Sus scrofa: one gene and its partner. Each later gene encodes a partner of the first gene's protein in a complex. Links are inferred from orthologs where the notes say so. Each region holds a gene or a part of one and is shown on either strand. Other genes may lie near its edges.

The links.
Region 2: CNOT2 (region 1) and CNOT7 share a complex: the UniProt entries of both Homo sapiens proteins name them as parts of the CCR4-NOT complex. The link is inferred for Sus scrofa from reciprocal best matches to the Homo sapiens genes CNOT2 and CNOT7.

Annotation. Positions count from the first base shown.
Region 1 is NC_010447.5:34,533,164-34,536,991, forward strand, and holds part of CNOT2 (CCR4-NOT transcription complex subunit 2), read left to right. Parts: intron 1-614; coding exon 615-735; intron 736-830; coding exon 831-987; intron 988-3,624; coding exon 3,625-3,686; intron 3,687-3,773; coding exon 3,774-3,823; intron 3,824-3,828. UniProt on the Homo sapiens protein: Component of the CCR4-NOT complex which is one of the major cellular mRNA deadenylases and is linked to various cellular processes including bulk mRNA degradation, miRNA-mediated repression, translational repression during translational initiation and general transcription regulation.
Region 2 is NC_010459.5:4,943,371-4,947,198, reverse strand, and holds part of CNOT7 (CCR4-NOT transcription complex subunit 7), read left to right. Parts: intron 1-1,299; coding exon 1,300-1,493; intron 1,494-3,828. UniProt on the Homo sapiens protein: Has 3'-5' poly(A) exoribonuclease activity for synthetic poly(A) RNA substrate. Its function seems to be partially redundant with that of CNOT8.

The DNA of each region.
Region 1 (3,828 bases):
GCCAACTCAGCTTCCTCTTTCTGATTTAACGGATATGTTTATTTCTTCCACATTTCACTGAAAATAGTTTTTTATGTGTGTGTGTGATGGGAGTTTGTATATTTTTTTTTAAATAATTGATGAAGATTATTGGGTAAGAATTAAAATAAGTAAGAATTTTAAAAGTTCACATATTCTAACTTATCTTGGAGGTGTTTTATGGTAATATTTTAGGTAATGTACTGTGTTTTATATTTAGTTTATCTTCTGAATGAAGTATTGAGGAATGTAACCTCAAATGTACCCCAAAACATAAAGTTCTGAGATAGGTAGGGTTTTTTGTTTTGTTTTGTTTTGTTTTTTTTAAATCTGTGACTGAAAAGCTGAGATCAATATTTTTCATGTATTTCTTTAAATACTCAGATGTATGTAATACAGGATTTATTTGTATATCATGGGACATTTGTGGAAACACAAATTTCATGTAGAACAAAAATTTCATGTACTTGAAAAACAGGTAATAATTTACTACCAATTAAGTGTAATATAAAATGAATAGAAAGCTACTAATATATGAACTTGAAATGTTTATACCTAACAAATTTTAATGTCACATTTAATTTTTTTCGTGGTAGAATTTGAATACATCTGGCAAGACAAGTTCAAGTACAGATGGACCCAAATTCCCTGGAGATAAAAGTTCAACAACACAAAATAACAACCAGCAGAAAAAAGGGATCCAGGTGTTACCTGATGGTGGGACTCTATAAAATAATATCAAAGATACTATAGAATTCATATTTTTTACTTTTTCCTCAAAGATTAAAAATGACTATGTTTTTCTCATTCAGGTCGGGTTACTAACATTCCTCAAGGTATGGTGACGGACCAATTTGGAATGATTGGCCTGTTAACATTTATCAGGGCAGCAGAGACAGACCCAGGAATGGTACATCTTGCATTAGGAAGTGACTTAACAACATTAGGCCTCAATCTGAACTCTCCTGAGTAAGTTTTTTTCTTTTCTTCCACCTTTGTATATAATACCTCCCTGCATTTTTAAATTTTGTGTCATCAAATTACATTCTCTGCTGTCACTCATTGTTGCTGGTATCTACTGACTCTTGAATCATTCCTTCTATATTAGCTTCTAGATCATTCTCTCTTTATATTAATATTCCTCTTATCATTTGGCAGTTTCAGTATACATCCTTCCCAAATCCTAAAATCCTAGCTCCTTGAATTTCTCTTCTGCAGAACTCTTTCCCTGCATCATACCTCAGCTGCTCATTTCTTTGGTCATCCTTTTGACTTTGGCATTATTGGTAACCTCCCTTTCTCTGTGAGGTAATTAAATCTGTGCTACCATGTCACTTCTTGTTTCCATTTCTCTCCCTCAACTACTGGCTCCTATAATCATTAGATTCCACTGGGACCTTCAACCCATTGATTCTTCTACTTTCTAATGTTCCTCAGCATTCTTATGTCTCGTTCCCTTTGACCAACTCACTTCCTTCTCCAGTTAACTTCTGTGGTCAGTCATAATTTCTCATTTATATAAATCCCTGACTGCTCTGTCCCCTCTTGCTTTGTCATACCTGCATGGCAAAAACTTCAACTCGGTTATGTATCTGCTGATTCCATCCTTAGCCTGTGCTACTGAGCCTGGTTAGAGAAAAATTCACAACTTCACTGCTTGGTCTCATTTCACATTCATATCTGGGAACCCCAAGAATGGGCCCTTAATTCTGCCAACCATAATCAATGGACTGGCATGCCTAGTCCATTCATTCTTTTGTTCTCCCGTGCAGCTGTTTTACACTTGCCTCTTCAAACCCTGAGTGCTTTTCCCCCTGTGCTTACTTGCCAGGTAGTGAGTGACTTTGCTTTTTATTTCTACTTTACTAAGAAAGAAAGATGGAAACAATCAGAAGAGTGTCAGTATTGTCCTGCCTCAAAATCAGTTGCCTACAAATCATCTGCACCCACCTTACTCTTGTCTTCCACCCTGTTGTAGCCATGCTTTCTACTTAAAACCTCTCTTGAAAACTCAAAGAATCTAGTAATTGTTTGCATTTTGTTGAATTATTTCCATCAGCATACAAATACGCTGTTACTATGTTAACAAATATCTTCTCTTGATTCAGCTTATTCTACAAGTTATCACTCCCCCATTTATTCTCCTCTGAAGCAAAACTCTTCAAAAGAGCCATCTTTGTATCCTATTTGTCCTATTCTCTGTTAAACCCATTTCAGTTAGGATTTTGCCCTCATCAATTAAAACTGCTTTCTTCAAAGTCATCAAATGACCTCTGTTACTAGTTCAGCAGTCACTCTGGCAGCTAATCTTCTCTAACCAATCCGTAATGTTTGGCATAGTATAATCATCATTGCTGCATTGTTTTTTGCTGCTTTTGACTGCTCCCACCCTGGTTTAAATCACCATCTTTTTTTGTCTGGAGTCTCTCCTTGCCCTTTATAATCTTTGGTTCACATGGCAGCCAAGACAGTCTTTTTGTTTGTTTGGTTGGTTGGTTGTTTTTGTCTTTTTAGGGCCACACATGTGGCATATGGAGATTGCCAGGATAGGGGTCTAATTGGAGCTGTAGCCGCCAGCCTATGCAACAGCTACAGCAACGCCAGATCCTAGCTATGTCTGCAACCTACACCACAGCTCACAGCAACACTGGATCCTTAACCTACTGATGGAGGCCAGGGATTGAACCTGAAACCCCATGGTTCCCAGTTGGATTCATTTCCACTGTGCCACAACGGGAACTCTGAAGACAGTCCTTTTTGAATAAGTTAATTCTCTGCCCAATACTTAGTAAGGGTTTGTTGTTTTATTATGATTAAAACCCCCAAATCTTTATAGGCCTCCTAATCTCTACAGGGATGATCTGTGTCTCTTCTACCTATACCTCAACAGCTTGTCCCTTTTTTCACCCTGTTCCATCTTCAGTGGCCTTCCTGCTCTATACCTCATACATGTCAGTCATAACTGCATTGATTGCTTTAGCAGTTCCCTCTGACTAGAGTTATCTTCTGCCAAGTAACTAATAGTTATCTCCCTCATATCCTTCAGATCTTTGGTCACACATGACCTTCTAAATGAGACCTATCCTGACTACCCTATTTAATTATGCAAATAATCTTCCCTCCCTACCCCACCACTAACATGGAATATTATTTATATATTATGTAAATTGTTTTTGACTGCCTCCTTCCCAATCCACCATCCTCAACCAGAAAGTTTCATGTTATCAGTGATCTTTGTTGTGTTTGCTGATGTATAAGCACCTAGAACAGTGCCAGAAATATAATAGTAAATATTTGCTGATTTTGAACTTTTGTTTTTAATAATTACTGTTTTCTTTTTTCCTGGCCATATAAATAAGAAAGTAATTTTACTTGAGGGCATGGTGTTAATGAATTTAAAGCATTCTGAGTTGAGGTAATTGGGGGGGGGGGCCTTATTTCAATTTTCTGCTATGTAAGTCATAGTAAAAACAAAAAAAAATTAGAAGTTTAAAATATGCACATTTTACATTTGAAGTCATTATTTTTCCTGATTTCCTGAAATAAAATTAGATATCTTTTTTTCTACTTTGGACTTCAGAATGGTTTTTTTTTCCCCTTATTCAGAAATCTCTACCCCAAATTTGCATCACCCTGGGCATCTTCACCTTGTCGACCTCAAGACATAGGTAGGAAAATCTATTTGTTCATACCTTTTAAAAATGTATTTGTAACTGAGAATCAGTTAATAAGGCTTTTTTCATTTTATTATCCAGACTTCCATGTTCCATCTGAATACTTAACGAACATTCACATTAGGGATAAGGTGAG
Region 2 (3,828 bases), on another chromosome or scaffold:
ATGATTACAAAGTGGCCTTGTCTGATGTTAAGAGTGTGAAATTGTTTATATTCAGCAGAAGAACCTTAGGACTTAGCTGTGAATGCCAGGTCTGCTCCAAGCAACACTAAGGCTTAATGTTAATACCAGATGGAGCTCCTGTTTGTCTTTTCTCAAACCAAAAAATTCTGATCTCCCGGTGAAGCATTGTTGATTTGCAGTTTTGTGTTTGCTTTTTAATCAGTGGATTTCCATGAACACACTGTGCTGTTAAGTGTTTCTAGTTTTGCATATACTATTCAGTCTGCCTAGACTGTCTACTCAGTTAATTATTTTGCTTCTTTGGCACTGTCTTGGTGAACCTGCTGTTTTCTAGATTATTAGCTTCAAGAAGGGATTAGTGTCTTAATCATCCTTTCTCCCCCCACCCCCAATACCTAGCCTAACACGTTGCATCCAATAAAGTGGTTGTTGAGTTGGACTGAATTTAGAAAAGTTTTAATTTCTTTACTGCTTCAGAGTAAGTTGTTATTTAGGTTTTGTTTTTAGTTTCCTAATTTGCATTTTAATATTAAACTGATGTATTATTAGTATATTGAACATAAGAAAATAAATATGCTTTTTTTGAGAGGAGCAGGTAGTTTGTTAAAATATAAATATTTGAGTGTACATAGATAATGTTTTATATAATAGATGTTCTCACCCATAATTAGAATTGAAGTTATTTTTTTCCAGTAGAAATTCATTCAGATAATTTATTTCTCAGGCGATAAGGAATGAAAAACATTAGAGATGCCATAACATTTTACAGGAATAAGTGGTGGCATGAAGTTTTTAAGGTCATGCTTTCTTTGGACTGTAAAAAGAATACTGTTTAGCACAAGAAATTAAGGTTTTGGTGTTTAGATAAACCTTATTTCAGAAAAGCAGTTGGAAAGTATGATGCATTTTCTATTCTTTTTAACCAGTTCTTCATTGATTTTAGCATTAGAATACTGTGAGCAACATGTATTTGTGATTTTTTTCCTCCTTCCTTGGGAATACTTAGTTGCATGTATTGTGTGTATCTTACACATAGTAATTTTTTTACTGATGCAGTATTTAAAGTAAGAAGTCATTTAAGTTTGGAGAGTTTTATTTTATGGTTCTAAAAAGTAATGCTCTTCCTAGTTAAAAGGTACTTTGTAATCGAATATGAATTGTGTAGAACATCACCTATATCAAGAGTCTTTGACTTGTACCCCAAATTAATTATTTTAATTATTTGTGGATTGTGCTTTCAACCATTTAGTAAATAATAAACCTTAAAATATTTTACAGGACACCGAGTTTCCAGGTGTGGTTGCAAGACCCATTGGAGAATTCAGGAGTAATGCCGACTATCAGTACCAACTATTGCGGTGTAATGTAGACTTGTTAAAGATAATTCAGCTAGGACTGACATTTATGAATGAGCAAGGAGAATACCCTCCAGGAACTTCAACTTGGCAGTTTAATTTTAAATTTAATTTGACGTAAGTGGGAAATAAATATAATTCAAACCTGTTTTAGTTTGATTTTAGAAGTGAATTTCCCTGAAATGTGACAAATGAAATTCTAATTAAATTTGGTATCGTTATCCTGGAAATACTTAAAACCTTAAATTTCACAAGGTGTTTTTGTTTTTTTGTTTTTTTTTTAAATGGGGCAAAAAAATCAGGATAAAGAAGACTTTTAAATTCTAATATTTTGAGTTTTAGAGATGTTACTTGAAAAGTACGACTGGCACTACTTTGAAATTTGGAAAATTGGGTATTGAAAGTATCAGTAGAATAAATAACCGTATCTTAATTTTGCTTTCAAACTTTGGAATTTGAAACATACATGTCTCTGTTGTAATAATTATTCTTCTTGTGAAGAGATTTTTATTATGGTCATACTTCAGTTTATGTGTAGATTACACATCAAAAGTGCTAAAATATTTTTTAGAAACTTGAGTGCCTTTTCCTTTCATATCAGTATTTTATAATGCTTATGTTTCTAGTCAGCCCATAGAACTTTTTATCAGTTATATATAGGAGGAGTAATAGTAGCCTTGAGCCTGGTATTTCTTTTAGAAACAATTCAGAATCTGAATTCTTACTCAAATCTGGATCAGAACCCAGTTTCCTTACTTATACTACTTCTATATCATTGGTAGGAGTAGTCTTGATAGTTTTGGGAAGTTTCCACTGATTGGGGGTGAGGGCAGATTGGTTACAAACTGTAAGATGGGAAATGTTTGATACATTTTGAGTATGTTACTATACTGCGCTATTCTTCTACTGCACAGCCTCTGCTTGTGTCATATGATCTAACATCTGATTTGAAAAATAGTAAAAGAAGTTGTAGGACAATGAATGGTGGTGCCATTGTAAGAACCTCCCATTCTCTGTGATGTGCTATTTAGCATATAAGATCTAAAGAAAAGCAGGGCTGATGATTTTAGATGGTCAATGGTGCAGTAGTATGGCTATGTTTAGCATGACTGTTTCACTCTGTTGGATTTAATAATGTACTTTCTGGAATTTCGTAAAGGGTACAAGGTACTCTCATCTATTCAAACTGACAGTAACTTTTATAAGTGTGTAGTTCTCAAAATTGCCTTTTCTCCTTTCCTGGAAAGATAACCCTTTTTAAGATTAGTATTCTACTATTTCCTTGGTTGCATGTTATTTTTTTTTTCAAAGTTCATCATTAGAACATTGTTCTTTACTAAGGTATTGTTGTGATCTCGGTACGTGAGTAGGAGGACACCGATCAGTGTTTTTCAGTTTTGGTTAAGTTGACATTTTTTTTTTTCTAGAAACATTTTTGTTTTAATAACTGCTTTGTTATTAAAATCTTTGAAAGATATTTTTTCTTATACAGAATACTGCTATAGTTTTGCTACCATTCATACTAACATTAATGTCTTAAGAGATGTTTAAGGATAGAGTGGAAAATATTTAACTAGAGAGGGTCAGTTGGAGGATAAAACCAGTACCATGTGATGTGGAGAAAGAACCGTGAACATGAACAGAATCTTGGATATTTCAAAGAAAGATGAAAATTGGCTTTTTCATTGATTGCCTAGACTGAATGTGTCAGCACCGGGGAACATAGTGTTGAGAAAAGTTGGTCATGGTCATTATAACCTAGTGTTATAGTTATGTCTTCTGTTTTCTTTTGCCCAAGTCCAAGAATTAGAATTGGTAGGTCCAGATCAGTGTTTGGGAATTCACTGTAAACTGGATTTGAAGTTGATATGTACATGAAAATTGAAGTAGAATATGATATCTGATGGTGAAACCCAGAGGTTTTTCTCTTGAGATTGTGACTTAAATGGTCCAGGTGTGGGACTTGGGAATCCATATTTTGCTAAGTTCTCTGAATGTTGGTTATCATTGGGCAAGTTTGGGAAATACTGGTTTAAATAATATGATACTCCCTGGTGACATAACATTGAACAAAACAGACAAAAATCATTGCCCTCTTGTAGCTTAAATTCTTATTTAAGTTTAGATATCCTAGCTTGACTTTTGAAAGGTAGTCTTCTAGGAATAAGGTTAGGAGAGCAGAGTTATTCTAGCAGAGTTCTTCATTTTAAGCAGTTTACTGTTTATCGGGGCCATTTGAAAGGCTCATCGTTAGAGGAGGCATCTCCTTTTTATTTAAGATAGAATGTAGTTTCACTCAGTCACATCAGATGCTTCGCATTTGGTCTTCTTCCTGGTACTGCTGAGAGCCTGGGAGTTGGACCCAGGCCCTCACCCCTGTGGCTGCGGCTCCATTTGGCAGCATTAAAGTGGCTGCTGAGACCAAAAACCCCTGATAGGAATGTGTCTGTTA